3 linked regions of the Xenopus tropicalis genome follow. The main gene of each other region encodes a partner of the protein of the gene in region 2 in a complex. Links are inferred from orthologs where the notes say so. Each region holds a gene or a part of one and is shown on either strand. Other genes may lie near its edges.

Region 1 (9,552 bases), on a different chromosome or scaffold from region 2:
TTATTATTAAAGAGAAAAGGGAATCATTTAACCATTAAATAAACCCAATAGGGCTGTTCTGCCCCAATAAGGGGTAATTATATCTTAGTTGGGATCAAGTACAGGTACTGTTTTATTATTAAAGAGAAAAGGGAATCATTTAACCATTAAATAAACCCAATAGGGCTGTTCTGCCCCAATAAGGGGTAATTATATCTTAGTTGGGATCAAGTACAGGTACTGTTTTATTATTAAAGAGAAAAGGGAATCATTTAACCATTAAATAAACCCAATAGGGCTGTTCTGCCCCCAATAAGGGGTAATTATATCTTAGTTGGGATCAAGTACAGGTACTGTTTTATTATTACAGAGAAAAGGGAATCATTTTTAAAAATTAGAATTATTTGCTTATAATGGAGTTTATGGGAGATGGCCTTCGAGTAATTCGGAACTTTCTGAATAACAGGTTTCCGAATAATGGATCCAATACCTGTACTATAAGAAAACAGATCCTCATGTGGTAGTATTTGTCATTGTAAAATCAACTATAGTAAAATTATATGGATTTGGGATGGGTTCATATTTGGGGCCAGGTCATACTAGAGCTGTTCATCTAATGTTATAATACTCCTCCATTATGTTTATAATGTATGCTGTTTATAGGTAAAGGTTATGATTTAAAAACTACCGTCATACAATGTGATGGAATAGTGGTCTATTAGGGATATGTGGGCCAGCCCGATACCCGAGGGTTCAGTCCGACCTTGGCACAACGTTTGCGGGTCGGACCTTACACTGCTGGGTTCTGGCTCTTTGATTTATAGGCGCGTGTCCATTCACCCCTGTCCTGCCCCTTTTGTGACATCATCGGTGGGTGGGTCAGGCATGGGTCTATAAACAGAGGGGACTAACCAGGTCGGGTAGGGTTTGGGCTGGGAGTGGGCTGGTTAGGGTCTAGCACGGGCTAGTGCTGGGCGGTATGACCAAAAATTTATATCACGGTATTTTTCAAAATTATATCGGTATCACGGTATTTGACGGTATTTTTTTTTCCCCATGCATGATTAGGTGACCACCCCAAACACCCGCCACCCGCACCCCCCCCACCACCCCAAACAACCCCCCATCCGCACGCAGCCCCCCCACCCCCCCATCCGCACGCACGCCCCCACCCCACCCCAAACACCCCCCCATCCGCACGCACCCCCCCACCCCAAACACCCCCCATCCGCACACACCCCCCCATCCGCACGCACCCCCCACCCCAAACACCCCCCCATCCGCACACACCCCCCCCACCCCACCCCACCCCAAACACCCCCCCATCCGCACACACCCCCCCATCCGCACACCCCCCCCACCCCACCCCAAACAGCCCCCCATCCCCTTCACATAAATATAACCCCCCACCCCATCACAACCCCCCCAAACACAACCCCATCCCCTTCACATAAGTATAACCCACCCACCCCAAACACCCCCCCATCCCCTTCACATAAATAACACCCCCCCATCCCCTTCACATAAAATATAATTACTTGCCAGGCACCCCCCCCCCCCCCCGACAGCTCACATTGGTATCCGACTCTGAATGCGTCCTAGCGATGGCGCTTTTGTAGAGTGTGCGCGCTGACGTCACGCGCGCACCCGGAAGTATTCACGCACACCGGTATGGGGGTATGTAGAAAATTCATATCGGTTTAAAAAAAAACACCGGTGATCGGTTTTTACCGGTATACCGCCCAGCACTAGCACGGGCTGAGATTTACTTGACCTGCACATCACTATTTTCTATACCTGACATTCTGTTATATTAGAAATTTCCCTATTAGAAGTGGCTCTCATTTTGTGGCTATTTTGTGAATCTTATTCATCTATTGCAGATCAACTTCCCCATGTGTACAATAGCATCTATGCCCAGATTACCAGAGCACTGCATTGAGTACGTTCGGATACTTCAGTGGCCAAAGGAACAGCCATTTGGAGGTATTGTGCCTCATGGAATCTGTCGGGTTTGCCCGACAGGACTGGCCCATTATAATAAAGGCAACAGTAACTAACATTGATGCCACAACAGCACCCGAGATATCATTTGCCCTTACGTTGTCAGCATCCCTCTACAATGTGCCAGCTTTACCAGTCAGTTGAAAATGTTCCGTAAATACCAGTGAATAGTTTTGGTAATCACAGATGTTGCAGTCTATTGGATCACTATAAAGCGCAAGGCTGTTACATACGTTTTAACATTTATATTGGTAACGTGAATCATGGTTTGTTTCTGCTTATAGAGGGCGTGCAATTAGATGGGGACGACCCTGAACACATCCAGTGGATATTTATGAATTCGTTGGAGAGGGCGAAACAGTTCAACATTCGAGGTGTCACGTACAGACTTACTCAAGGTAGATGTCGTCTGCAGCAAATTTGTATTTATTTTTATTGTAACCATTTATTACTGTGCATCCCATATGCAATCATGGGGGCAGATTCAGAAGGGCAAGCTGTGGGTTCAAATTCCAGAGGGGCTGCTGCAAGATGCCATAGACAGTCAATATTTATTGGGCTTCTGGGGATGTTGTAAGTGTAATTGCAGTCACCTGTCTGTCTACAGCTTACCGGTAGCTCATAAGAGCAATAGACACTTTAAAATTGATGTCAACTTAAAAAAATATCATCTACACACGATACTTTGTTCATATTTGTAACTTGTTTCATGTTTCAATCTTGTCTACAGGTGTTGTAAAGAGAATTATTCCTGCTGTAGCCTCTACAAATGCTGTAATTGCAGGTAAACACAATCTATTCCATTAATAATTCCCTATTTATGCTTATATTACACTAGCCCAGTGATCCCCAACCAGTGGCTCGGGGGCAACATGTTGCTCACCAACCCCTTGGGTGTTGCTCCCAGCGGCCATAAAACATGGGCCCATTTTAAAATGTTTTATTTTCTAACTTGGAGGCACCATGTGTACTGCCAAACAGAACCTACTGTAGGCTGCCAGTCCACATGGGGCTACCTACGAACCAATCACAGCTCTTATTGATCATCAACCTTAAAAGGCCGAATCTTGACCAAATCCCGAACCGAATCCTGGATGCTGCCATAGTTTTATTTTAACTGTTTAGCCTATGGGAAAACCTAATGGGCTGTTTCTGCTGATTTTCTGAGACAATTTTTTTTAATTTTTTGTAGTTTCGGTTAAATAGCTTTTTCAGTTATATAGCTCTCTACTTTGGAATTTCAGCAGCTATCTGGTTGCTTGGGTCTTGTTTACCTTAGCAACCAGGCAGTGGTTTGAATGAAAGACTGGAAGATAAATAGGAGAAGGACTGAATAGAAAGTTAAGTAATAAAAGTAGCAATAATAAAATAGTAGATAATGTTTTGATTTCTGGAGTCAGTGACCCCCATTTAAAGCCTAATGGAAACATTATGAGTGGGATGTATTACTATTTCTCACTTTTTCCCTAGATTGTATGAAGATTTACTGACCCTTCTGACATTGCAGCCATACCTAAACTTTCTTATCCACTCCCCTTTCTAACGTTACCCTTAGTCTGTACAGAGAGACAGTATATACATTTAAACATTGGTATTCTACTATAATAAAGGGGTGATTCAACTTTAGGTTAATTTTTAGTATGTTACAGAATGTCCTACTCCTAGCAATTTTGCAATTGGTCTTTTTTTTTTTTTTTTTAGTTTTTTTAATTCTGTGTTTCACAAGTCTTAAACACATGTTAGGCCCCAAAGATGTACAGTGGAGGAAATAATTATTTGACCCCTCACTGATTTTGTAAGTTTGTCCAATGACAAAGAAATGAAAAGTCTCAGAACAGTATCATTTCAATGGTAGGTTTATTTTAACAGTAGCAGATAGCACATCAAAAGGAAAATCGAAAAAATAACTTTAAATAAAAGATAGCAACTGATTTGCATTTCATTGAGTGAAATAAGTTTTTGAACCCTCTAACAAAAAAAGACTTAATACTTAGTGGAAAAACCCTTGTTTGCAAGCACAGAGGTCAAACGTTTCTTGTAATTGATGACCAAGTTTGCGCACATTTTAGGAGGAATGTTGGTCCCACTCCTCTTTGCAGATCATCTCTAAATCCATAAGGTTTCTGCTTGAGCTTGAGCTCCCTCCATAGGTTTTCTATTGGATTAAGGTCCGGAGACTGACTAGGCCACTCCATGACCTTAATGTGCTTCTTCTTGAGCCACTCCTTTGGTGCCTTTGCTGTATGTTTTGGGTCATTGTCGTGCTGGAACACCCATCCACGACCCATTTTCAGTTTCCTGGCAGAGGGAAGGAGGTTGTCGTTCAGGATTTCACGATACATGGCTCCGTCCATTTTCCCGTTAATGCGAATAAGTTGCCCTGTGCCCTTAGCAGAAGAACACCCCCAAAGCAAAATGTTTCCACCCCCATGCTTGACGGTGGGGACGGTGTTTTGGGGGTCATAGGCAGCATTTTTCTTCCTCCAAACACAGCGAGTTGAGTTAATGCCAAAGAGCTCTATTTTGGTCTCATCAGACAACAGCACCTTCTCCCAGTCACTCACAGAATCATTCAGGTGTTCATTGGCAAACTTCAGACGGGCCTGCACATGTGCCTTCTTGAGCAGGGGGACCTTGCGAGCCCTGCAGGATTTTAATCCATTGCAGTGTAATGTGTTTCCAATGGTTTTCTTGGTGACTGTGGTCCCTGCTAATTTGAGGTCATTAACTAACTCCTCCCGTGTAGTTCTAGGATGCTTTTTCACCTTTCTCAGAATCATTGACACCCCACGAGGTGAGATCTTGCGTGGAGCCCCAGAGCGAGGTCGATTGATGGTCATTTTGTGCTCCTTCCATTTTCGAACAATCGCACCAACAGTTGTCACCTTCTCTCCCAGCTTCTTGCTAATGGTTTTGTAGCCAATTCCAGCCTTGTGCAGGTCTACAATTTTGTCTCTGACATCCTTGGACAGCTCTTTGGTCTTTCCCATGTTGGAGAGTTTGGAGTCTGCTTGATTGATTGATTCTGTGGACAGGTGTCTTTTATACAGGTGACTAGTTAAGACAGGTGTCCTTAATGAGGTTGACTAATTGAGTAGAAGTGTCTAACCACTCTGTGGGAGCCAGAACTCTTAATGGTTGGTAGGGGTTCAAAAACTTATTGCACTCAATGAAATGCAAATCAGTTGCTATCTTTTATTTAAAGTTATTTTTTCGATTTTCCTTTTGATGTGCTATCTGCCACTGTTAAAATAAACCTACCATTGAAATGATACTGTTCTGAGACTTTTCATTTCTTTGTCATTGGACAAACTTACAAAATCAGTGAGGGGTCAAATAATTATTTCCTCCACTGTATATAAACCATTTTGTGGTGTAACACATCAATAATGTGATCACTTTTTTTTTTTTCTTCTTTTTAATTCCAGCTGCCTGTGCCACTGAAGTTTTTAAAATAGCAACAAGGTAAACTTTAGGAACATTGGATTTATATTGATTTGCTTTCCTTTTCTGTCAGTTTAATGATTGAAGTCTCTTTTCATAGCGCCTACATCCCACTGAACAATTACTTGGTGTTTAATGATGTTGATGGATTATACACTTACACCTTTGAAGCAGAAAAAAAGGTTTGTACTGTCTGTTATTTTCCTATTCAGCTGCCAAAAAGGATTTTTTTTTTTTACTGGTAGAAGGCACATTTCCCCATTGTTTAATAAAAATGAGTTACATTTACCAGGATACACACATGACCTTTGTTATTTGTAAAGGCCTTAACAATCCTGATGTAACTACAGATATGTGTATGTTTTGGAAATACTGATAGACTAATTAAAAGTAGTGTTTTTCCAGGGCTTTACGTGTCCTTTATGTCTTGCCCTACTAGCAGCAGGAAGCTTTTTTTGGGGGGGAAAAATATTTTTTTATTTTATACAGGTTGGGATCCATTATGCAGAAAGGCCATCTCTCATAGACTTCGTTATAAGCAAATAATTCTAATTTTTAAAAATCATTTCCTTTTCTCTGTAATAATAAAACAGTACCTGTACTTGATCCCAACTAAGATATAATTACCCCTTATTGGGGCAGAACAGTCCTATTGGGTTTATTTAATGGTTAAATGATTCCCTTTTCTCTGTAATAATAAAACAGTACCTGTACTTGATCCCAACTAAGATATAATTACCCCTTATTGGGGCAGAACAGCCCTATTGGGTTTATTTCATGGTTAAATGATTCACTTTTCTCTGTAATAATAAAACAGTACCTGTACTTGATCCCAACTAAGATATAATTACCCCTTATTGGGGCAGAACAGCCCTATTGGGTTTATTTAATGGTTAAATGATTCACTTTTCTCTGTAATAATAAAACAGTACCTGTACTTGATCCCAACTAAGATATAATTACCCCTTATTGGGGGCAGAACAGCCCTATTGGGTTTATTTAATTTACATTATTATTACATTAACATTTATTTATAAAGCGCCAACATATCCTGCAGCGCTGTACCCTAAGTGGGTTTCATACATTGGACATACAGAGTAACATATAAAGCAATCAATAACCGATACAAGAGGTGAAGAGAGCCCTGCCCAAAAGAGCTTACAATTTAATGGTTAAATAATTCCCTTTTATCTGTAATAATAAAACAGTACCTGTACTTGATCCCAACTAAGATATAATTACCCCTTATTGGGGGCAGAACAGCCCTATTGGGTTTATTTAATGGTTAAATGATTCCCTTTTCTCTGTAATAATAAAACAGTACCTGTACTTGATCCCAACTAAGATATAATTACCCCTTATTGGGGCAGAACAGCCCTATTGGGTTTATTTAATGGTTAAATGATTCCCTTTTCTCTGTAATAATAAAACAGTACCTGTACTTGATCCCAACTAAGATATAATTACCCCTTATTGGGGCAGAACAGCCCTATTGGGTTTATTTAATGGTTAAATGATTCCCTTTTCTCTGTAATCATAAAACAGTACCTGTACTTGATCCCAACTAAGATATAATTACCCCTTATTGGGGCAGAACAGCCCTATTGGGTTTATTTAATGGTTAAATGATTCCCTTTTCTCTGTAATAATAAAACAGTACCTGTACTAGATCCCAACTAAGATATAATTACCCCTTATTGGGGGCAGAACAGCCCTATTGGGTTTATTTAATGGTTAAATGATTCCCTTTTCTCTGTAATAATAAAACAGTACCTGTACTTGATCCCAACTAAGATATAATTACCCCTTATTAGGGGCAGAACAGCCCTATTGGGTTTATTTAATTTACATTATTATTACATTAACATTTATTTATAAAGCGCCAACATATCCCGCAGAGCTGTACAATAAGTGGGTTTCATACATTGGACATACAGAGTAACATATAAAAGCAATCAATAACCGATACAAGAGGTGAAGAGGGCCCTGCCCAAAAGAGCTTACAATTTAATGGTTAAATGATTTCCTTTTCTCTGTAATAATAAAACAGTACCTGTATTTGATCCCAACTAAGATATAATTACCCCTTATTGGGGCAGAACAGCCCTATTGGGTTTATTTAATGGTTAAATGATTTCCTTTTCTCTGTAATAATAAAACAGTACCTGTATTTGATCCCAACTAAGATATAATTACCCCTTATTGGGGGCAGAACAGCCCTATTGGGTTTATTTAATGGTTAAATGGTTCCCTTTTCTCTGTAATAATAAAACAGCACCTGTACTTGATCCCAACTAAAATATAATTACCCCTTATTGGGGGCAGAACAGCCCTATTGGGTTTATTTAATGTTTAAATTATTTTTTAGTAGACTTAAGTTATGGAGAAACATTCTGGAAAACAGGTCCAATACGTGTATGGGGCCTGTTATCTGTAAACCCATTATCCAGAAAGTTCAGAATAACGGAAAGGCCATTTCGAATGTGACAAATTATAACAACTTCTCCCCAGCTTACAAGCAGCATGCAGGAACTACATAACCCACAATGCATTGCACTGGGATGTTCCTTTCCTTATTGACATCACGTGTGCAGCAGGGAATTGTGGGATTGGGAGGAGGCGGGCTGAAGGCAGGCTGAGGGCAGGCGACTACTGTTACAGTTTATTTGAGTCACAAATTAGCCAGCCAGACCAGCAGGGGAACAGGGGGCGGGGCTTAGGGAACTGTTCCAAACCAGATTATCACATTACCAATCATGAAAAGGCTGCATATTTTACAATTGCTTTATTTTGCAAAGGTGCTTGAAATTATGTTTACTTTACACAAAGCTTAAGTTGTGTTTGGGTGGAGTTCCCCTTTAAGGATTGCAGAAAGCCGCCTTCTCCTGTAGCCACCTCCAGTTGAAACATGGTCGCGGACAGGAATTATTCAGCAGTCAGTGATCCCCATCTGCCATCATATAAAATAACGCACTTTTCCAGGACACGTAGTTCCTTTCATTTAGCAGATAAGGGTGAAGTTCTGCGTCACAGCAGCAGTCTAAACGGATTCAACTATAAACATTTCTTTTCTTGTTTGACAGGAAAATTGTCCCGCTTGCAGCCAACTCCCACAGAACATCCAGTTTCCTTCTTCAGCCAAATTGCAGGAGGTGCTGGATTATTTGACAAATGACACATCACTGTAAGTGCTTGATCATCCTTGTTCACCTTTAAATTAACTGTTCCATGACACAAAGAGTAACATTCTGACATCATTTCCAGTTTGTTTTCATTTTTTATTATTTGTGGTTTTTTGAGCTATCTTTTTATTCAGCAGCTGTCTGGTTGCTAGGGTCTAAATTACCCTAGCAACCAGGCATTGGTTGGAATGAGAGGATGAAATATAAATAGTATAGGGCCTGAATAGAAAAATGAGCAATAAAAAGTAGCAATAACAATAAAACTGTAGGCTTATAGTGTCCTTGTTATTTTAGATGTTGGGGTCAGTGACCCCCATTTGAAACATGGAAAGAGTCAGAAACTTTAAAGAAGAAAAAAATAAAGCCCAATTAAAGAGTTGCCTAGAATTAGCCATTCTACTTAACTGGTACTCTAAGACAATTTGCAATTTATTATATTTGTTTTTTAATTCTGCCGCTCCCAGGCTTAGAATTTAGACTGCTCTTTGGTTGCTAGGCTTTAGGTATCCTAGCAACTATGTTGTTTGGAAGCTACAATTGAAAGTAAAAAGAAGAGTGCCTGAATAAAAAGATAAGCAACAAATGTAATGTAGGGTGGATGATAATAAAATCTGTTCATATAGAATAGGCTAATCTATAATGTTCAAGAAGTTATGGTAAAGGTCAACTTTGCCTTTAGGAAGCATAGATAGATAGATAGATACTGGGTTATTTTGCTTTCTAAATATAATTGGCTTCCCTTATGTCTCTTATTGTGTTTGATGCAGACAGATGAAATCTCCTGCTATTACTGCAACACTGGATGGGAAAAATAAAACCCTTTATTTACAGGTAAGCAGGAATGTGCCTTATCTGCAGTCTGTAATGTTTGGATGTTATGTTTTATATCATTATGTGTAAGGTTCCTCTCAAGGGCATCTTACCATCTCAGCCCCTCTCCCTC
Region 2 (10,219 bases):
CTACCAATAGCTAACCTACTTGGCTTGCCTTGATACATGACGTAGCAGGCCTCAGGCTCACAGGATTCATCTGCTCTTGACTTATTTACATCCGTCAAAGATAAAATGGGCCACTATCCTTCCTCTTATATAGCTTCCCTAGAAAAATCCTTCCTTGAGTGCCACAAAGGAGAACCTGCTCAGGCACCTTCCTAGTGACTGGAATACAACTTTTTACATAAAAGAGCATGGGCTGATGAATCCATTTCACATATATACTAAATTTGTGTCAGAACCCGCATAGGATTGTCTATATCCTGGAACCCCTAGTAGTGATAAGGTCTGCTGTCTCTCTTGTTACACCTGGAAGTGTGTCCTGTAAAGGTGAAAAACATCTTCTGAATAACTGAGCCTGCCATCAATTTGTATATGGTTTATCCACCTTCCTGTGCTATAGGCAGGGCATCTGGGCTCTCCACTCTACCAGTAATATACTTTAAAATCTATAGCTATTCCTGGAACCCTGCAAACCATGGCCAATCAGTTTGATCAGTCAATCAAACTAGTGGCAAGTAGAGAAAAGGAAACTGACTAAACGTGGGAGTGCAGGTTTTAAACCATGATTGTCGGGCTAATGAAGAACACAATTTGGCTATAGGATCAGTATTGTGGTATATCATACCAATTATACAGGTATACCAATTTAGGCCTCACAACCATTATGCCCAGAACACACCCAAGTTAGCACCCATCACACCCACAATCTACCAAAAACCAAACCTACTTTCCAATAAATTTTGCCCCACTTGGGGTCAGTAACGGAAGAGTTGTACAGCGAAAAGCACCTTAGGAAGGTGCGGCGTATGCATTACACAGCCATGTCCCTCATCCGCTCTGGTCACACTTCAATTATGCCAAAACCCATGACCCACCCAACCCCTACCCACTCCTCACAAGACCTGCTCCTTTAGTGACCCAAAATCACACTTTTTCATTTCAGTACCACCCTCTGCCATGGGGCCTGACTGCAGTATTCCCTGTAGCCCTGATCACAGCCCTCAGCATAAGAGCCACAATGCCCATGAACTAAGAACTAAGCTGTTATATCTAGCCCTTTTAACTCTGCATCTGCTTTCTAGTTCAAGGTGTCCCTAAATTGTAAAACAAAAATTTGGCCCTAGCTTTTACCTAAATCATTGGGATCTTTTTGCGCCAGAATTAAAAAACATTAAATTTGGTCAATTTCACTCATTATCTTTGTCTTAAACAAGGAATTTTTGTCCTTGCATTGTGAATACATGGGCCCAACAATAGGTATTGTTTGAAACCATGAAAAAAAGTGAAAGAATATACACTTTTTCATCAAACATTGACAATAGAGGATATGGTAGCTGCAGGGATTGCTTTTAACCACCAGGGAAAACTGGGAAAGTTGTTTTATTGTTCCTTGGCCCAAATAGGAACCCTTGTAGGCAAATATAAAAATGAATTACTATTGGGAGCAGAGGCTTTGGTGGAGGCGAATATTATTAGCAGCCAGTAAAAAAGTGTCTTTCTTTGTGCCCTGGCACAAGTGACAAGGCAAGTAACAAATGCTCTTCTTTCAGGAAGAATATATAATCGTTAAATGATCACATGAATACACGTGAATCCCAGTGCCCAATAAGGGAAATTATAAAGCTACTTGCAGCAATTGGTATCAAATATCCATAATTCTCTTAATTAATATTCAGTAACCAGCTACTGGAAAATTGTATTGATTAAAAGTGATTGTCACTTATTGTCATCTTCTTTCAAAAAGACACTGGAATCCTTTTATGCCAGAGTAAAACCCTAAACGCTCTACATTAATTTTTGACAATTTTAGCCATTGTCTTCTCCTAAATTAGCCTTTGTTTTGTCCCTAAATTATAAAATACTTGGCCTTTGGCAATGACCCTTTAACACCATTATGAACAAAAGATCATAAAAACTAAAGATTAGTATGGGTATTTTTATGCATTATAATCTCCTCATTTAGCCTATTTTTGTTCTTAATTTGTGCTTTTCAGCCAAAAAAGGGTTACAGCATTATAAAAATTTCCACTTTTTTTGATAAATCAGATGAGAATCAGCTTCAGCACATATTGTTGGCAACCAGGAAGAACATCTTTTTTGGTTCTCTTGCATTGGTGGGAGCTCTGAGCAGAGATAAAAACAATTGCAAGTTTGGTTAAATATCAGGAGCAGATGCTATTGCTATGGCAGGTAATGCTGGAAAAAGTGTTCTCCTCTTTTGCTCCTGACACAAGTAGAAGTTGTAAGTTGAAAACCCTGCGCCTAATAAAATACTGGGCGCTACTCTAGCTGCAGCTGGAACTCCACAGAATACTTTCACTGGCATATGTGCAAATTCTAGATAGCAAATAAAAGCATGAATTACTTAAGGCTTGGTCAAACATTGGGAGCCAAAGCTCTGGTAGCCGCAACCATGGGTTGCAACTACCACGAAAAAAAAGTATTTTTCCTCTAATAAAAATATAACCAGCAAGCCCAACACGTGCATGCTGTGTCACATCCAACAAGATAGTCAGATTCAGTTGGAGCAACTTTTTTTTGCATAGAATTACATGAACTTTGATGGTGGTGTTCCACAATGGATCAGGTTAAATCTGACCCACAACATCTGATCAAAGGTACTCTTTGGGTTTAGCCCATATTTCCCCATTTTTGGATAGTTGTGGGTGACAGCTTGTGTGGTCTAACTCCTCTGTGAAACAGGGGAAACCCTTTCCAGCGCTAGCCTGCTAGACTACCTTTGGTCAATTTTACTAAATTAAGTATTGTTTGGTTCCACAATAGTGAAAAATCTGACCCTTGTTTACACAAAAAACACTGGGACTCTTCAATGCCTAAAACATTACTGTTAGTATATTTTACCCATTATATTCACCTTAAACAGTCCTCCCTGTATTGTGAAAAATCTGGTTTCACATAAAACTCTAAAAACCCTTGGATGACACTTTACAAAAAAAAAAGGACCTAAAAACTCACGATAACTTTTGGTCAATTTCAGTCATTGTATTCACCTAAAGTAGCCCTTTTTTGCCACAAATTTTGACTAAATCTACCCCTTGCTTTCACAAAAATACTGGGCCCCTGATTCCACTCTAAGAAAAGATCCTACTTTTGCTTCATTCACCCATTGTATTCTAAATTAGTCATTATTTTGTCTCCAAACTGAGATGAGAATCAGCTTTAGCACGTATTGTTGGCAACCAGGAAGAACATCTTTTTTTGGTTTTCTTGCATTGGTGGGAGCTCTGAGCAGAGATAAAAACAACTGAATGTTTGGTTATACATGGGCAGCAAATGCTATGGCAGGTAATGCTGGAAAGTATTCCCCTCTTTTGCTCCTGACACAAGTAGAAGTGTAAGTTGAAAACCCTGCGCCTAATAAAATACTAGGCGCAGATACTCTAGCTGCAGCTGGAACTCCACAGAATATTTTTCCTAGCATATGTGCAAATTCTAGATAGCAAAGAAAGCATGAATTACTTAAGGCTTGGTCAAACATTGGGAGCCAAAGCTCTGGTAGCAGCAACCGTGGGTTGCAACCACCACGAAAAAATGTATTTTTCCTCTAATAAAAATATAACGAGCAAGCCCAACACAACCTCACTAGTGCCCATAACGCACTACCCCACTCCGCGTTCCCTCACCACTCCCACTGGGCGGCTACGTGCGGCGTTCCAGCGCTTATATACGTGCTGTGTGACGTCATAAACTCGCGAGATGAGCGGTGTGACGTGCGGATTCGCTGTCCGGCAGGAGTTAAGGAGCTAGACCCTAACGGGGCTGAGGGACTTTTTAACAGCGATCCGGGACTGCGGGCTGTGATAAGAAAATCGGCACTGTCCCGGAAAAAGAGGGGCTGTTGGGCGGTATGTGGCAAGGCAGCAATTAGGGTGCCCAGAAGGTTGCCTGCCTTTCATATTTACAGCAGTCATTGATGTAATGTAATAATGTATCAATAATACTTAGTACTGAAGGAGTCACTGGTGCTGTTTTTTATACAGTAGTAGTCTGTACTGTACATCAGAGCAAGCTTCTCTTTAACCCATTCCTAACTATTTCTGTACTACAATCCCAGTATCTTCACACAACTAAATCTGTATGTTGGGGGCTTGGGATCATCATATTTGGGAACAACGTGTGGCCCCCCACATAAATAGCATTTATTTGCCAGTTTTTTACAGTCAGAGGCTACTTCTAGGCTGTACCCCTTCTGACCTGGGCTTGCTAATTGTGACCCCAGTTTAGAGTAACAGATGGAGCTTGCTGGGCATGCATAACTTCCAAATATCTGTCCCGCTGCTGATTGGGGGGGGGGGGGGGGGCTTAAGAAAGGGTTCTTGTAATAAAAAAAGGAATTTAAAGTGGGGCGCACAGCTGATTTTAAACCCATGTTTGAATCAGATTCTTTGTAAGTGCCACCCGTAAAGAAATAATATGAACAGGTGATTAAAGTTCAATAAAATGTAATACTATTATTTTTTAAAGGAAACATGTCAATCTAAGATATAATTCCAAATCCCATTTTTAGTCATGTTAGTCAAAGTTTACTTTTACTACATAAGTGTTGTCCAAATGCTTACATGGTGAGGCCAACATTTATTTATACAGCATGTTTAAGTCGCAGATTATATTGAAAAGATGATGTCATACAGTGAAGCCCCCCCCCCACCCCCCGAGAAGACTGGGGTCCTGTGGAAGGCCACATCAGACCCAAGACCTCCAGTTGGACTATATATTCAGTCTTGGAAGTTACAATCACAGCAAAAGGCAGGCACCAAGCATTGCATTGTTCAGAATTCTTGTTTATGCACCAGAATGGGGGACCTGACACCCATTCACAGGCTACACAATGATTGTCAGTGGAGGAAAGTGACATCTAGGAAGTGCAAAATGGAAAGTGAAAGTGATTGCTATGTCTGAGGCACAGAGGTGCGGAATCCAATATAGGACTGACAACTGAACTTTTTAAATACATTTGAAACAAGTATGGATGTTTTAATAAACAAACAAATTTGGGTTTCATAATTTGCAAAGGACTTTTATTATACAGCATGTTTTTTTTAAAACGCATCAGTTAATAGATCTTCTCCAGCGGAATCCTGCACTGATATCCATTTTTTTAAAGCACAAATTTTTTAATATTTAATTTTAAAATTTCGCATGGGGTTAGCCATATTCTTCGATTCCCAGGGTGCACAGTCATGTGACTTGTGCTCTGATAAACTTCAGTCACACTTTACTGCTGTGTTGCAAGTTGGAGTGATATCACCCCCCTCCCAGCAGTTGATCAGCAGAACAGTGGGAACGGAGCAAGATAGCAGCTCCCTGACACCTGTATTGCTAAAAGTGGTAGATCTCATAATAGCACTCCGTAGAAAATCCAAGTCCGGCTCATGACTCCTTCAGTTACATTGAAGTAGGAGAAATAATAGGTTACCTGAAAGCAGTTCTAATGTGTAGCGCTGGCTCCTTCTGAAAGTTCAGACTCAGGCACAACACACTGAGATGGCACCTACACGCCAATTAAAAAAATATGTTTTGCAATTTAGAAAGATAAAGTGCTTCATAAAATCATGGCAGAATCCCTTTAAATTCTTTGTTTGACCAACTAAACACCTCAACTCATCACTGAATTCTAGTATCCTAAAATGTAATCCCAGTGTCGGCTATGTCAGTCGTGCTGCACATCTTTTTGCATGCGTGCTGCTTCAAGTGCCAGATGGGCACGAAATGCATTAGGCCGGCATGTTATCTAAATACAAACTTTTTTACTTTTTCTAAACTTTTGGCCTGTATGTTGAAGCTTTTGTTGGAGTGGAAGTCCTTTTGTTTTTACAGATGATAATGTAACTATATTCCTAGTGTTGGTGATGTTATGAGGCAAAGTTTCGTAGTTCTATAAGGCCCGTAGATATGGAGACTGCTACCTCTGTGAAACCCTATATTCCTTAGACCAATCTTATATTTTATATATAGTTTCTTTACAGATAAGACCGTGCTACACATGGGACACTGTCAGTATGATATTCCAGTGTGTCTTAAAGGGGTTGTCAAAACAAGTCAAAAAGTTTATTTATGATTTGTTTCCCCCTGCTTTTTCACCTTGTTTTTCCTTGCTTTGCTTAGATCCAGCCAAACTGTAACATACGCTGGGTGATTTGTCTACATTTTTCTTCAAAGCCATTTTTTGTTAATACATTAGACATTCCTTAAAGGAGAAGGAAAGGCTAATAGAGTTTCTCAAGCTGCAGGCATACCTTCAGTTCTCTCAATAGTGCCCTTACGTCTCCCCATATTTCTCCTGTTCAGATGATCAGAAGCCTCATAGGAAAAAAAAAAGCTGAGCTCTGAGTTCCCATAATGCCTCGCTCCTGCACCAAGACCGGTGTAAATGCGCAGTTTGTAAGACAATGAGGAAGTGTCCTGCTGATTGGCTCAGATCCACATTCCTAAGGGGGGGGTGAGTTCTTAGCATTCTTGAGGGAGGGGGGAGCAGGAGAGGGGAGAGAGCTGTGAGTCTCTGACACAGGAAAACAAAGAGACAACAAATCTTTTGACAGTGGACTCAGTGCAGCGTTTCTGTGAGTGCTTATGGCTGTATTTACATAGACCATTCTGATAAAGCTTACTTAGTTTTTACCTTTCCTTCTCCTTTAAATAGTGGCCAGAAATTGACTTGTATCTGTTGTGCTATTAAAGTGCTCTTACATAAAAGGTATCATAAACATGTGATTGAAGTCTCAGGAATCACTGGGGGCTGTGAATTGCATATGTAGTAGAGTTTATTAGTTATCTGTTCTGCATTGTCCATTTCTGTGCCAGAAATGAGCATGTTGTGGCTGTGCAAATAGAAACACTCATAGACTAGCTCCAGTTTTCCATATACAGCAGCCCTATGCAGTTCAAGATATGGCTTCATCATTGTTCTCTCCTTCTGGGATTTTTTTTTTTTCCTGATCTTTCTTCTCCTTTTCATCTGGGGTGAGAAACCATGTGGTCAACTGCATAGTATTCAAGAACGCCAGAGTTTATGGTTGAGTTCTGGAACCACTGTTCTGACATGAATTTTAGATTTTTCATGGCCTTGTAGTTTAGGAATAGTCGATTTTAGTGTGGGCTTGTCCAGCTGAATAGGGCCATAATGGCACTGGCATGATTTGTATGATTTTTATTAGTTGGGCAGTGCCACTACTTTTTCCAGAATTTCCCACTATTGCAGTTGCTGTCAGGGAGTTGTTAGGCAGTGAATTGAAAACATGGCAGTTTCAATTTCTAAGTGATAACTGCCTGTCACACAAACACTTTTCGTTTATTGCTATAGCAGCAAATAATGGTTGTGTATTTTAGTTTTGCACCATCCTCAAGCAACTTAAAATTCTGGGTGCTACAGTGCCAGTAGTTACTCACCATAGTTGTGTGCCAGCCCTAAATGGATAACTACGGAGTTGAGGTAACTGCCTTTGCATAGATGTAGCATTATACCAACCTAGGCATTCTTTGCAGAATTTGCACTTTAAATCAACGTTTGCTGCAACAGCTTAGATTGAAACTGCTTCCAATACACAGCGCCCGATGAACACATGATTAGTTTTTAGTTTGTCCCTGTTTGCAGTTCGTGAATATATTTTATGGCCATCTGTTTGCCATTTTGTGTATGACAGCTTTGCTTTGGCGCTCATTTTTTCACTTTGCATTTTTTTCTGACTGCTTTCTCTGTGACGCTGTGCATTTATTGTGTGATTGATCCCCTGTTCATTTACTTCTGTTGGTACACTGCATTCATTTCTCACTTACTGAAAATATAGTGCTGACTGGTGCATGTATCCACTTAAAAAGTTTTGGTTTTTTTAAGGGCTAAGATTTTCTTACCTCTTGTTTGTGCACAGTTCTTCATTTTGTTATGATTTTTCCTTCATTTGCGTTTCTATTGTATATTGTGAAGATCTGTGAGAGGCAGTGACTAAAACAATGCAAAAGCAGATAATAGGCTAGTGTCACACACCAGCTTTTCCAACAGCTTCTTTATGTCAGTGGAGAAACTGCTGATTCTGCTTCCTACCTCTCAGTGTAGAAGCTCAAATGTGCATTTTCTACTTGAAACGTGCCATTTGTTTGCAGTGACAGGCAGATTGTATTCTTGTCACTGTACACAAATGTGGGGCAAAAGGTAAGTGAATCAGTTGGTTATCTACTGGTGAAAAAACACGGATTCAGCCCCTACCTGGGTAAGTGTGCAGTGATGGGAATTTATTCAACCTTCGCAAAACTTACAGGAGCATATTTCCTTCCAAAATCAGTTGTCCATTTTCAGGCCAGAAGCCACCCTATGTGCTCAATAACATGCATATGTCTTTCCTTCATCTGGATGCAGCAAATATCTTTACCCTGTTGAGGTCTTTCACAGGACATAATTATGCCTAAAGAAAATCTACCTTTTAGACACTTTACCTTGGTATTTTAGTACCATAGAAAGTGTTAATGTACTGTTACCGTAGTGTTAATTTAGACTTGACTAACAGAACTCTGGTTCTTCACCGATGTAGAATGCCCTACTGGTTGGTGTGTTTTTATACATTACTTAGAGATTTTGTATAGATATATGCTGGGTATCAGATGTAGACTGTTGGCTTTTTCAACCCACATTAACTGTGTAATTATGTACGCTGGAGGTCTTTCAAATATAGATAGTTTTTTTAACAGAAAACTTCTGAATATATTTTGTACATGCTGTAATAAACTATGCAATAGGCACAGACACTTTGTTATTTAACTTTTCTTTCTTATATCACATTGTCTATAATTTTAGGTGGTGGGTGGCGTGATGCTTACACTGGCAAGCAAGTTGAAGCGGGACGATGGTGTTAAAGGAAGTAGAACATCTAGCACAACCTCTGATTCAACACGCAGAGTGTCTGTTCGTGACAGATTACTTGTAAAAGGTAGCGTTTGAACACCCATCAACTGACTTGCAATGCAGAGAATTAACATATTTATCATTGTTATATATTATTATACAGTATGTATATGTATACAGGCCACAACTTGCTCTGCACTCTCTAAAGGAACTGTTCATTGCAAAAATGAATATAAATAGATAGGTTGTGCAAAATCCAAAATATTTCTAATATACTGTAGTTAGTTAGCCAAAAATGTAATCTATAAAAGCTGGAGTGAGTGGGTGTCTTACTTAATAGCCAGAACACTACTTCCTTCTTTCAGCTCTCTAACCTCAGTTAGTCAGCGACTTGAGGGTGGCCATATTGGACATAACAGTTCAGTTAGTTTGTGAGCAAGCAGGTCAGACTCAAAAGCAAACAGGTATGTCCCATTAAGTTAAGTTCTGGCTTTTATGTAAGAAACCTACTCACTCCAGCCTTTACAGATTACATTTTTGCTTAACTTGCTGTATTGAAAACATTTATTATTTTGCACAACTTATATCTGTTTACCCAGTTTAGTTTTTTAGTTTAGGTCCCTCTTCTGTGTTTCTCAGTACCCACTCAGCAAGACTTTTTGTGCTCTGCTGAGCAAGGTCTTTAGTACAGCTTAGTGATGGGGAACTTCCTGGCATGTTACACTCTTAAGGTTCATGGTAATTTCCATTACACCATTGGAATACTGCATTACTGCATCAAAAATGAAAAGCCCAAAGCAAAATATTGCAGATCCCCCATTTTTTACATAAATCCAACCTTATTTCAATCTGGCATGATCGCAGAAAGATGGCAAAGAATATGCTCAGGGGCATATTTATTGTAGTGTGTAAACGAACATCACCGGGGATGTTGCCCATAGCAACCAATCAGGTCTATACTTTTGTTTTGTAACTTGTAGGTGACCATTCAAACTTAATTTCTGATTGGTTGCTATGGGTTACATAGGTTAACTATATAGGGTAAAAGCGCTGCATAAATTGATGGCGATATATAAAGAATAATAATAATAGGGTTGAAAAAAGACCAGAGTCCATCAAGTTCAGCCCTTCCAAGTAAACCCAGCACACACAACCTATACTTACCAATCTTTACTATCACATACATAAACTATATATACAACCATTTATACTAACTGTAGATAATAATATCACAATAGCCTTGGATACTATGCTTGTTCAAGAGAATCTGCCATTACAACATCACTAGGAAGGGCATTCCACAACCTCACTGCCCTCACAGTGAAAAAC
Region 3 (10,348 bases), about 35 Mb from region 2:
CTTTGATTGACAGTCACTATTTATTGGGCTGGTGGGGGGCTGTTTGGGCTTCTGTGTAGATATTATTTCAGGGCCTATTTTAAATCAAAGCAGTCACTGCCTCAGTTTCCTTCTACAGAGAACTGTGAATGAAGATTAAGTTGGGTCCTAAGCAATCGGCATATACACAAAGACATTCCCATATTTTTTGTGGGTGGGGGGGTTGTAACAATTACCCCTGGTTCACCAGTACAAATGAAAAATATTGGTCAATTATATTGGATGGGTGTGGAAACTTAGGTGCACTCTATTATGAATGGAATAAATCTTGGACCCCCCCCCTTTTATTACAAATAGGTTCCTTGCTGAATAATTTGAGTGACTAACCAGCATGAATGGGAATGACCCTGTTCTGCAGTGCAACACAGTGGCAGCTTTGATTTACAGAGTCCATCTTGTGGTTAAACCTCATCATACCGCAAACATGGCTTGTGATACAACAATATAATTTAATTATGATAGATCTGCTGCCATGACTAGGAGATTTCATCATATGACTTTAAATAAACAGGCTTGGCTTGCTTCCTGAGCTTTTCCTGGGTACGCAGAACTTTACTGTGTGGGACGGCAAGTCCCAGTGGAGGCAGATGGATCTGTGAATAAAAATTAGAGTTTATTCTGTAAATGCTTCTCTTGGAAAGGGTACAAGCAGCAGGGAGAAAGGTAAATGACCAACAACATAGCAAATAGGTGAGTGTAAGGGCTAAATAAGTGCAAAGAGCAGGGCAGAGATAGATCTGTGCAGAGTTAAAGGGAATAAGTAGTATCTAGGAAGAAGGGCAGAGACAGAAGGAAAAACATGAAGGGGACAGGAAAGAAAGTAACAGTATTTGGTTTGGGAGGGAAGTAGGACTAATGCTTACAGGCCTGGGGTATGGATTCCTATAATGCAATCCAATCTCCACTCTTGCCTTGCATTCTTCTATACACATTTTAATCATCTGAAGATCTGTAATCTACAAAAAAAGAACAGTGCTTACTGGTTATATGTGGCACAGCAGGATCACAAAGACGTGGCAGTTAAGGGAGACTAATAGCAAAAATCCCGCCCCCCCCCCCCCAAATCTTGTAGGCAATAGTGAATATTATTCCTCCTTTCCTGGAGCTCCCTATATGCTTGTGTCCCTGTTTGTGTCACCAATGAGAGGTGGGTGTGTCTTAACGGTCCCTGCCAGAAACACAGTAGGAGAGGGATAGCCAATCACAGCCCCGCAGTCACACAAGCAAATACAGGCTCCAGTTCCCTATCAGGTCAGCCTAGCTGCTGATTGGTTCCTGTTTAACAGTGCTCCCCTGCACAGCCTGCGAAAGGAGGCAGCAGAAAGTAGAACAGATGGGTTGGACTAGTAGCATTTTGGTGGAATTTCTCAATAAATTTAAAAAAGCATAATCCTTCTATATATATACACGTATAATGCACTGGCACATTCTTGTATTTTACACAATATTTCTCCTTAAGGGTTAACATATAACACATTTCAGGATTACAGGAACCCGTCAGTATCACTATATATTCTAATGTGTTAACATTCCATGCCCCGCCTACACTCCGGTTTCCAACCCTAGATGCCGCTTCTAAAATGGCTGCTGTAGAAGTGAAATTTGACGTTGGGGGTTGGGTAAAGACTTGATTGGTTAGGGCAGAGTTTATATGGGTGCTCCAGCCTATCATGTCCAAGACCTGTCCCCAAGAATAATGCCATTGCTGCAGCGACCCAGGCTGAAGAGGTGTAAGGTGTTGGGTAGAGGTAACAGGACTGTGCAGTTCCGCCCCCTGATAAATACAGGCCTTTATTGGGAGCAATAGTTGCCCCTACATAAGCCCAACAGTACTTTAGTGCCCCACGTGATCCTGATGTGCTAGAGGTTAAAGGGAGAGCCTGCCCATAGGGAACCCACGTACAGCACAGTTATATGTACCTTTTTGTTTTTATAGAATAACTTTCTAGCTTCATCCACAATGTATTTTTTCTCTTTTATAGTTTCTTCCTTAAGTCCTGATGCTGCCTGCCATTTTCTTGCTATTCGGAAAATCTGCCGATAAAGGCTTAAAACCTCGTGACGGGTCCCCATTGTAACCTGCAATTAAAAAAAAATTATGTATGTATGAATTGAAAAGAGAAGCAGAGAGACCTCACACTCATCTACTAAAAAGTGTTGTTCAACATTGTATAAGTTATACAGTTATACCGTGAAGTCTATGGAGCCCATGGGCAGGCTGGGGGCCATTAAAATCATTTTGAGGGCCTCCAGTTGGACCGCCCTAACTCCCTGCAGCTCCACCCATGTTACCTCTGGTGGGGGCACCAGAGGAAATGAATTGGGGGAACTGTGGGGTGGCAGGGGATTTATTCATATTTTAAGGACATGGAAAGTCAAAATGATCATGGGTGTCATTAGTCGGACACCCCGCCCAGGGAACAATGGCTAACCTCCTTCCGGAAAAAGTGGACTGCTTACAGAATGCTGTGCTGCCACATTCAGGCTTCCCTGGCGCTGTTCTGGGTGTATGGGCGCTATAGTACTGGCATATGGGCACCATTTACTACAGACATTTAGGCTTCCCTGGCACTGTTCTGGGCATATGGGCGCTATAGTGCTGGCATATGGGCACCATTTACTATAGACATTTAGGCTTCCCTGGCGCTGTTCTGGGCATATGGGCGCTATAGTGCTGGCATATGGGCACCATTTACTACAGACATTTAGGCTTTCCTGGCGCTGCTCTGGGTGTATGGGCACTATAGTGCTGGCATATGGGCACCATTTACTACAGACATTTAGGCTTCCCTGGCGCTGTTCTGGGCATATGGGCGCTATAGTGCTGGCATATGGGCACCATTTACTACAGACATTTAGGCTTCCCTGGCGCTGTTCTGGGCATATGGGCACCATTTACTACAGACATTTAGGCTTTCCTGGCGCTGCTCTGGATGTATGGGCACTATAGTGCTGGCATATGGGCACCATTTACTACAGACATTTAGGCTTCCCTGGCGCTGTTCTGGGCATATGGGCGCTATAGTGCTGGCATATGGGCACCATTTACTACAGACATTTAGGCTTCCCTGGCACTGTTCTGGGCATATGGGCGCTATAGTGCTGGCATATGGGCACCATTTACTACAGACATTTAGGCTTCCCTGGCGCTGTTCTGGGCATATGGGCGCTATTTACTACAGACATTTAGGCTTCCCTGGCGCTGTTCTGGGCATATGGGCACTATAGTGCTGGCATATGGGCACCATTTACTACAGACATTTAGGCTTCCCTGGCGCTGCTCTGGGTGTATGGGCGCTATAGTGCTGGCATATGGGCACCATTTACTACAGACATTTAGGCTTCCCTGGCGCTGTTCTGGGCATATGGGCACCATTTACTACAGACATTTAGGCTTCCCTGGCGCTGCTCTGGGTGTATGGGCGCTATAGCACTGGCATATGGGCACCATTTACTATAGACATTTAGGCTTCCCTGGCGCTATTCCGGGTGTATGGGCACTATAGCGCTGGCATAGGGGCACCATATACTATAGACATTCAGGCTTTCCTGGCGCTGCTCTGGGTGTATGGGCACTATAGCGCTGGCATATGGGCACCATTTACTATAGACATTCAGGCTTCCCTGGCGCTGCTCTGGGTGTATGGGCACTATAGCGCTGGCATATGGGCACCATTTACTATAGACATTTAGGCTTCCCTGGCGCTGCTCTGGGTGTATGGGCACTATAGCGCTGGCATATGGGCACCATTTACTATAGACATTTAGGCTTCCCTGGCGCTGCTCGGGGTGTATGGGCGCTATAGCACTGGCATATGGGCACCATTTACTATAGACATTCAGGCTTCCCTGGCGCTGCTCTGGGTGTATGGGCGCTATAGCACTGGCATATGGGCACCATTTACTATAGACATTCAGGCTTCCCTGGCGCTGCTCTGGGTGTATGGGCGCTATAGCACTGGCATATGGGCACCATTTACTATAGACATTCAGGCTTTCCTGGCGCTGCTCTGGGTGTATGGGCACTATAGCTCTGGCATATGGGCACCATTTACTATAGACATTCAGGCTTTCCTGGCGCTGCTCTGGGTGTATGGGCACTATAGCTCTGGCATATGGGCACCATTTACTATAGACATTCAGGCTTTCCTGGCGCTGCTCTGGGTGTATGGGCACTATAGCACTGGCATATGGGCACCATTTACTATAGACATTCAGGCTTTCCTGGCGCTGCTCTGGGTGTATGGGCGCTATAGCGCTGGCATATGGGCACCATTTACTATAGACATTCAGGCTTTCCTGGCGCTGCTCTGGGTGTATGGGTGCTATAGCGCTGGCATATGGGCACCATTTACTATAGACATTCAGGCTTCCCTGGCGCTGCTCTGGGTGTATGGGCGCTATAGCGCTGGCATATGGGCACCATTTACTATAGACATTCAGGCTTCCCTGGCGCTGCTCTGGGTGTATGGGCACTATAGCGCTGGCATATGGGCACCATTTACTATAGACATTCAGGCTTCCCTGGCGCTGCTCTGGGTGTATGGGCGCTATAGCGCTGGCATATGGGCACCATTTACTCTAGAATATTCCCATAACATAAGTGCACATAATACCTGAGAGGAATGTTGGTGGGTAGGAATTGCAGGGGGTTAGTGATAGGAGTCACAGGGTACCACAGGGTGACTTTTGCCCTTTCAGAGTTTCTGTTCCTATTTGTGGGCAGATTTACCGGACTCCCTACCCACCCCCTATATGTATAACCCAGGCCCCGCCCTCCTTCAGTAGAGCAGCTATAGTTATATATAGTTATATTACAGAGAACCCTCAGTATCACCGGCAGTGACAGCGCACCTACACCTACAGGCCGAGCACTGCCCCTACCCAGCATGCACAGCGCCCCGCCCCAGCTCTATACTGCCCAATACTGCCGCTGTGACTGACCTGACGGTACCACGCCTCTTCCGCGACACAACACGCCCCCCCCCCTGACACCGAGACACCCGTGGGCGGACTCCGTGAGAATACACTGATGTCACTTTTTCTTTCCTCCCTTGTTTAGCCTGTGACGTCGGTAGAAGTGCGCCGGGCGCAGCGGGCACGTCACGGCTGGAGGAAAGGAAGGAGGGGGAGCTGGAAGGTGCGGACGTCGCAGGCTCACAAGTGATTGGGGCGCTGCCGGTCCCCCTGTAACACCTGAGGCAGAATGGGGCAAAGCGGGAAGTGATGCGGCAGCCATGGTGAGCGGGGGGGGGCTTTGTGTGTGTGTGTATGTATGTATGTGTGTGTGTGTGGCCGCTGGGCTCAGCCCTGATATATACAGTCTGTACCTATTGTTCCACTGCAGCTCCGCACTTACCCACCCAGGGAATAGCCACGGCTGGGGGGCTCCATGTTGGATTATTATACCCCCCCCCCCAGCCAGGGGCTCCTTGTGTTGCTATGGGGCCACATCTCCGCTACCTGCAGACTGAGGCCCCTCACACACACACACCCTACTGTATCGGTAATGGGGAGGCCCTGCAGCTGTTTGGGGATGGTTTCCCCTGGCAGCTACTGAACTACAACTCCCTGCTGTTCTGCCATGGGCTGATACTGGGACTTCTAAGGGCTGGAGAGGCTGAGCACCTCACTACCCCCATGGGCAGAGATGTAGTTGAACTATAACTGCAGATACAGTGGCTGCAGATCCCTAGCCAGAACAAACAGGGGAAAGTTGTGTTTTAAGCATTAGGCAATGAGGCTGTGACCCCAAAATCCATACAGACAGCAACACAAGGGGTCAGATCACTGTGCCGAGACATTATAGCTTCCTTCCCTGCCACAGATAGGGGGGCAGTTATTGGCCCCAGGGCTGGGGTTAGTTAGGCTGTCACTTATCCTGCTATTCTCTTTATATTCAGTCTGATCTGGTTCGATGGAACCAGGATCTTTTTTATACTGCATGGGGGATGGGTGGATTAGTCTGACAAAGCAAGAAAGGCATTCATAGTTTTATATGGCCTTTATATGACTGTAATTAGGACAATGACTCGAGATACAGACGCCACATATTAAGGTGGCTATACACTATCTGCTCATTTGGCCAGGTTGCCGAACGAGCCGATATTTCCCCCTGATATTCCCATCATTACAACAATGTTGGAGCCGTCAGAACAAGAACTGGGTCTATGTGTCAACCAGCCCAATCCATATCCGGGCAATTTGTAGCCAGATATCGGTTGGGCAGGCCTGTCGGGGGGTCCTCATACACGGGCAGATAAACTGCTGATTTGGTCTAAAGCTGCCCGAGTATGGCTACATTATAAAACAGACCATTGCATATCAAGGAACCTATAGGCCTAGCAGATAGGGGCATGTCCTGACATGTTGTACCTAAAGATATTGTTCTAGAATGGGCCAAGAATGTGAATTGAATTTGTTTATCCACATAGGAGATCGTTGGGATTGTAGCAGCTGTTTAATATCAGCATTTGTATGCCCCCCCAACTATGATTTTGATCTGTATTATAATATATGTAGTTACATTTCAACATATAAATAGCATGATTTGAGTTAGTGTTATAAGTATTGTATGTATCTCTCATAGTCTGGGGTTTTACCTTGTTTGCTGGATTATTTGGAGGCCTTCTGTTTATCTTTGTGTTTTATATAGAATCCCATTATTTGTAAAGCAACAATGGCTGGGGCCTATTAGCATGGGAAAGAAATGTGTGCTCTGGGGACTGTCTAAAAAGTGCCACGTAGGTGCTAAATGGCTTACTTTGTGTTAATTAGCTTTTATCACAATGCTTGGCTATAAACAATGATGGGAGGCTTTTTCTTTAGGGCCATGGCAGACGGAGAGATTATTCGCTGCGATTTCGGGAAATTGCGGCGCCGCATATGCCATCCCACCGGTGATTTACATTCTCGCCGGTGGGAGGCCATTTCAGGGAGATTAATCTCCCCATCTGCCGTGGCCCTTAGGGTGAAGACACACAGAGCTACTAGTAGCAGCTACTTGTCATGGCTACTAAAACAGACAATGCTGATCATTTACTGATAACTGTCTCCACGTGTGTTTTAGCAGAGGCAATTCTCAGTATTGTAAGGGCAGTGGCACAGGGGGAGATTAGTCACCCGTGATAAGGGCCATGGCCCGCGACTAATCTCCCCAAAATGCCACCCCACTGGCTAGAATGTAAATCATGGTGGGATGGCATACGCAGCGCCAAAATCCCTAAATTTTCCTTTCAAGACAACTTCCGTGATTTCAGCAAATCACCGTCCCGCGTATGCCATCTCACCGGCGATTTACATTCTAGCCAGTGGGATGGCATTTCGGGGAGATTAGTCGTGGGCCCTTAATCTTCACTTTTGTTGGCGACTAATCTCCCAGACAAGAATGTGAATCACTGATGGGATGGCGTGTTGCTTTGGTTTTCCTAAGTTTCCTTGTGAGGCAAAACCGTTTCCTCTTTCTAATGCCAACACACAGGCTTGGTTACCAACACTGGGTAATTTGCACCTGCAGTAAACCACTGGCATTCTGACTTCTATTGGCATGAAATCTGCTGTGTGTGTGCCTACAGGCTGATGGTGTCCCCCATTGGGCAATAGCCTGAGACTGCTGTAACAATCTGGTGATACAGGAACCCTATAACAGTGAGGGTATCTTCCATAGCTCTGCAATTTGGTGTTCTTGCAAGGCTGCCATAGGTCGATGATTGGCCATATTCTGCTGATTACAAAGTCAATTTAAGATTTTTGCAGTTTCAGTGCGGGCCTATAGCACTTAAAGAGCTTCAGCAGAACTGTAAGTGTTTTGATCTTCTTGAAAGATTTTTGGAATGCACCAAATTATGGAGGGGCAAGTTCTAAGAAGGGCATTCTGCTTTCATGGGCTGTGTAGACAGGAACTCCATGACTGATGTAAAGGTTCTGTGTCAATAGGGGCAGTCAAGTAACCCATAGAAATCAGTTGAACATTTTACTGTATGTTACCAGGCCCGGACTGGCAATCTGTAGGTTTTGGCAAATGCCAGAGGGGCTGCTGTAAGATGCCATAGGCAGTCACTATTTATTGGGTTAGTGGTGGGCTGTTTAAGGCTTCTGTGTACTTATAATTCCAGGGCCTATTTTAAATCTGGGCCTGCATGTTGCTATATAACCCTACGTGTTAGTTACTGTATATGCCATGCCACTTCTAGCTGCCAGGTTTTACACTGCCTCTATGACGAGGGTGCTGAGATAAGGGTAACACTATAATTGGGTGGCTCTGCGCAATGGTTGTGAGAGGTGGATATTCTCAGGACAGAGCTGTCACATATTGTTATGCTTATTTCTTTTATAAGAGCAGATTATATGCCGCTTGCCCAGGATTGTTTATTCCAGCCCCTGACGTTAATTGTGTTGCCCATTCAGCAGAAATCGATGGTCCAGATGCATAATGTTTTGCCTGACCTTCTGCCTAATTGTTTAATACCTTTAAAGCCATACGCCATTTGGTTTTATGATGGATCTAAAGCAGGGAGTGGGGTGGGGTATCTGAGCTAACCTACTTGGCACGAGGATGTTGAACATTGCATTAGGCAAAGAATGTAGCAAGCAGGATTCCAATGAGCGCCGCTACCAGCAGGATTATGCTACAGGGCTATTGTAGCTCATACTTTTGTTTTTTTAATATTTGCCTTTATCTTGTGACTGTCGCTAAATTAAGAGTTAAAACTGATTTTTTCAGGCATGGACAGGACACTACAAATACAAAGGGAATGATACAGTGGAGGAAATAATTATTTGACCCCTCACTGATTTTGTAAGTTTGTCCAATGACAAAGAAATGAAAAGTCTCAGAACAGTATCATTTCAATGGTAGGTTTATTTTAACAGTGGCAGATAGCACATCAAAAGGAAAATCGAAAAAATAACTTTAAATAAAAGATAGCAACTGATTTGCATTTCATTGAGTGAAATAAGTTTTTGAACCCTCTAACAAAAAAAGACTTAATACTTAGTGGAAAAACCCTTGTTTGCAAGCACAGAGGTCAAACGTTTCTTGTAATTGATGACCAAGTTTGCGCACATTTTAGGAGGAATGTTGGTCCACTCCTCTTTGCAGATCATCTCTAAATCCCTAAGGTTTCGAGGCTGTCTCTGTGCAACTCTGAGCTTGAGCTCCCTCCATAGGTTTTCTATTGGATTAAGGTCCGGAGACTGACTAGGCCACTCCATGACCTTAATGTGCTTCTTCTTGAGCCACTCCTTTGTTGCCTTTGCTGTATGTTTTGGGTCATTGTCGTGCTGGAACACCCATCCACGACCCATTTTCAGTTTCCTGGCAGAGGGAAGGAGGTTGTCGTTCAGGATTTCACGATACATGGCTCCGTCCATTTTCCCGTTAATGCGAATAAGTTGTCCTGTGCCCTTAGCAGAAAAACACCCCCAAAGCAAAATGTTTCCACCCCCATGCTTGACGGTGGGGACGGTGTTTTGGGGGTCATAGGCAGCATTTTTCTTCCTCCAAACACAGCGAGTTGAGTTAATGCCAAAGAGCTCTATTTTGGTCTCATCAGACCACAGCACCTTCTCCCAGTCACTCACAGAATCATTCAGGTGTTCATTGGCAAACTTCAGACAGGCCTGCACATGTGCCTTCTTGAGCAGGGGGACCTTGCGAGCCCTGCAGGATTTTAATCCATTGCGGTGTAATGTGTTTCCAATGGTTTTCTTGGTGACTGTGGTCCCTGCTAATTTGAGGTCATAAACTAACTCCTCCCGTGTAGTTCTAGGATGCTTTTTCACCTTTCATTGACACCCCACGAGGTGAGATCTTTCGTGGAGCCCCAGAGCGAGGTCGATTGATGGTCATTTTGTGCTCCTTCCATTTTCGAACAATTGCACCAACAGTTGTCACCTTCTTTCCCAGCTTCTTGCTAATGGTTTTGTAGCCCATTCCAGCCTTGTGCAGGTCTACAATTTTGTCTCTGACATCCTTGGACAGCTCTTTGGTCTTTCCCATGTTGGAGAGTTTGGAGTCTGCTTGATTGATTGATTCTGTGGACAGGTGTCTTTTATACAGGTGACTAGTTAAGACAGGTGTCCTTAATGAGGTTGACTAATTGAGTAGAAGTGTCTAACCACTCTGTGGGAGCCAGAACTCTTAATGGTTGGTAGGGGTTCAAAAACTTATTTCACTCAATGAAATGCAAATCAGTTGCTATCTTTTATTTAAAGTTATTTTTTTGATTTTCCTTTTGATGTGCTATCTGCCACTGTTAAAATAAACCTACCATTGAAATGATACTGTTCTGAGACTTTTCATTTCATT

Evidence for each region.
Region 1: the proteins of ube2f (region 2) and uba3 are in contact, whole or in part, in a crystal structure (PDB 3FN1), measured with the Homo sapiens proteins. The link is inferred for Xenopus tropicalis from reciprocal best matches to the Homo sapiens genes UBE2F and UBA3. Residues at the interface, in NP_001265234.1 of Homo sapiens: Thr27, Arg28, Arg29, Val30, Asp34, Lys35, Val38, Lys39, Val41, Ala42, Glu45, Val54, His55, Phe56, Pro57, Asp58, Pro59, Asn60, Leu62; in NP_003959.3 of Homo sapiens: Ala401, Thr403, Thr405, Leu406, Glu407, Gly408, Asn410, Arg411, Thr412, Ser417, Val418, Thr419, Ser420, Ile421, Arg424, Thr425, Gln442, Glu443, Ala445, Ala447, Asp448, Val449, Thr451, Pro452, Gln453, Thr454, Leu456.
Region 3: the proteins of ube2f (region 2) and dcun1d3 are in contact, whole or in part, in a crystal structure (PDB 4GBA), measured with the Homo sapiens proteins. The link is inferred for Xenopus tropicalis from reciprocal best matches to the Homo sapiens genes UBE2F and DCUN1D3. Residues at the interface, in NP_001265234.1 of Homo sapiens: Leu2, Thr3, Leu4, Lys7, Leu8; in NP_775746.1 of Homo sapiens: Glu108, Glu109, Glu112, Pro122, Thr123, Glu124, Met139, Cys140, Glu194, Ile204, Ala207, Leu208.

What each region holds. Positions count from the first base shown.
Region 1 is NC_030680.2:141,988,240-141,997,791, forward strand, and holds part of uba3 (NEDD8-activating enzyme E1 catalytic subunit), read left to right. Parts: intron 1-1,862; coding exon 1,863-1,965; intron 1,966-2,267; coding exon 2,268-2,381; intron 2,382-2,713; coding exon 2,714-2,767; intron 2,768-5,411; coding exon 5,412-5,448; intron 5,449-5,527; coding exon 5,528-5,609; intron 5,610-8,510; coding exon 8,511-8,611; intron 8,612-9,376; coding exon 9,377-9,440; intron 9,441-9,552. UniProt on the Homo sapiens protein: Catalytic subunit of the dimeric UBA3-NAE1 E1 enzyme. E1 activates NEDD8 by first adenylating its C-terminal glycine residue with ATP, thereafter linking this residue to the side chain of the catalytic cysteine, yielding a NEDD8-UBA3 thioester and free AMP.
Region 2 is NC_030685.2:59,014,660-59,024,878, forward strand, and holds the start of ube2f (NEDD8-conjugating enzyme UBE2F), read left to right. Parts: upstream 1-3,800; 5' UTR 3,801-3,902; intron 3,903-8,842; 5' UTR 8,843-8,857; coding exon 8,858-8,975; intron 8,976-10,219. UniProt on the Homo sapiens protein: Accepts the ubiquitin-like protein NEDD8 from the UBA3-NAE1 E1 complex and catalyzes its covalent attachment to other proteins. Together with the E3 ubiquitin ligase RNF7/RBX2, specifically neddylates cullin-5 (CUL5).
Region 3 is NC_030685.2:24,467,736-24,478,083, reverse strand, and holds the start of dcun1d3 (DCN1-like protein 3), read left to right. Parts: upstream 1-5,153; 5' UTR 5,154-5,265; coding exon of another isoform or gene 5,266-5,279; intron 5,280-10,348. Other genes in the region: lyrm1 (LYR motif-containing protein 1), read right to left, coding at 516-632, 903-995, 1,960-2,112. UniProt on the Homo sapiens protein: Contributes to the neddylation of all cullins by transferring NEDD8 from N-terminally acetylated NEDD8-conjugating E2s enzyme to different cullin C-terminal domain-RBX complexes and may play a role in the cell cycle progression by regulating the SCF ubiquitin E3 ligase complex, after UV damage.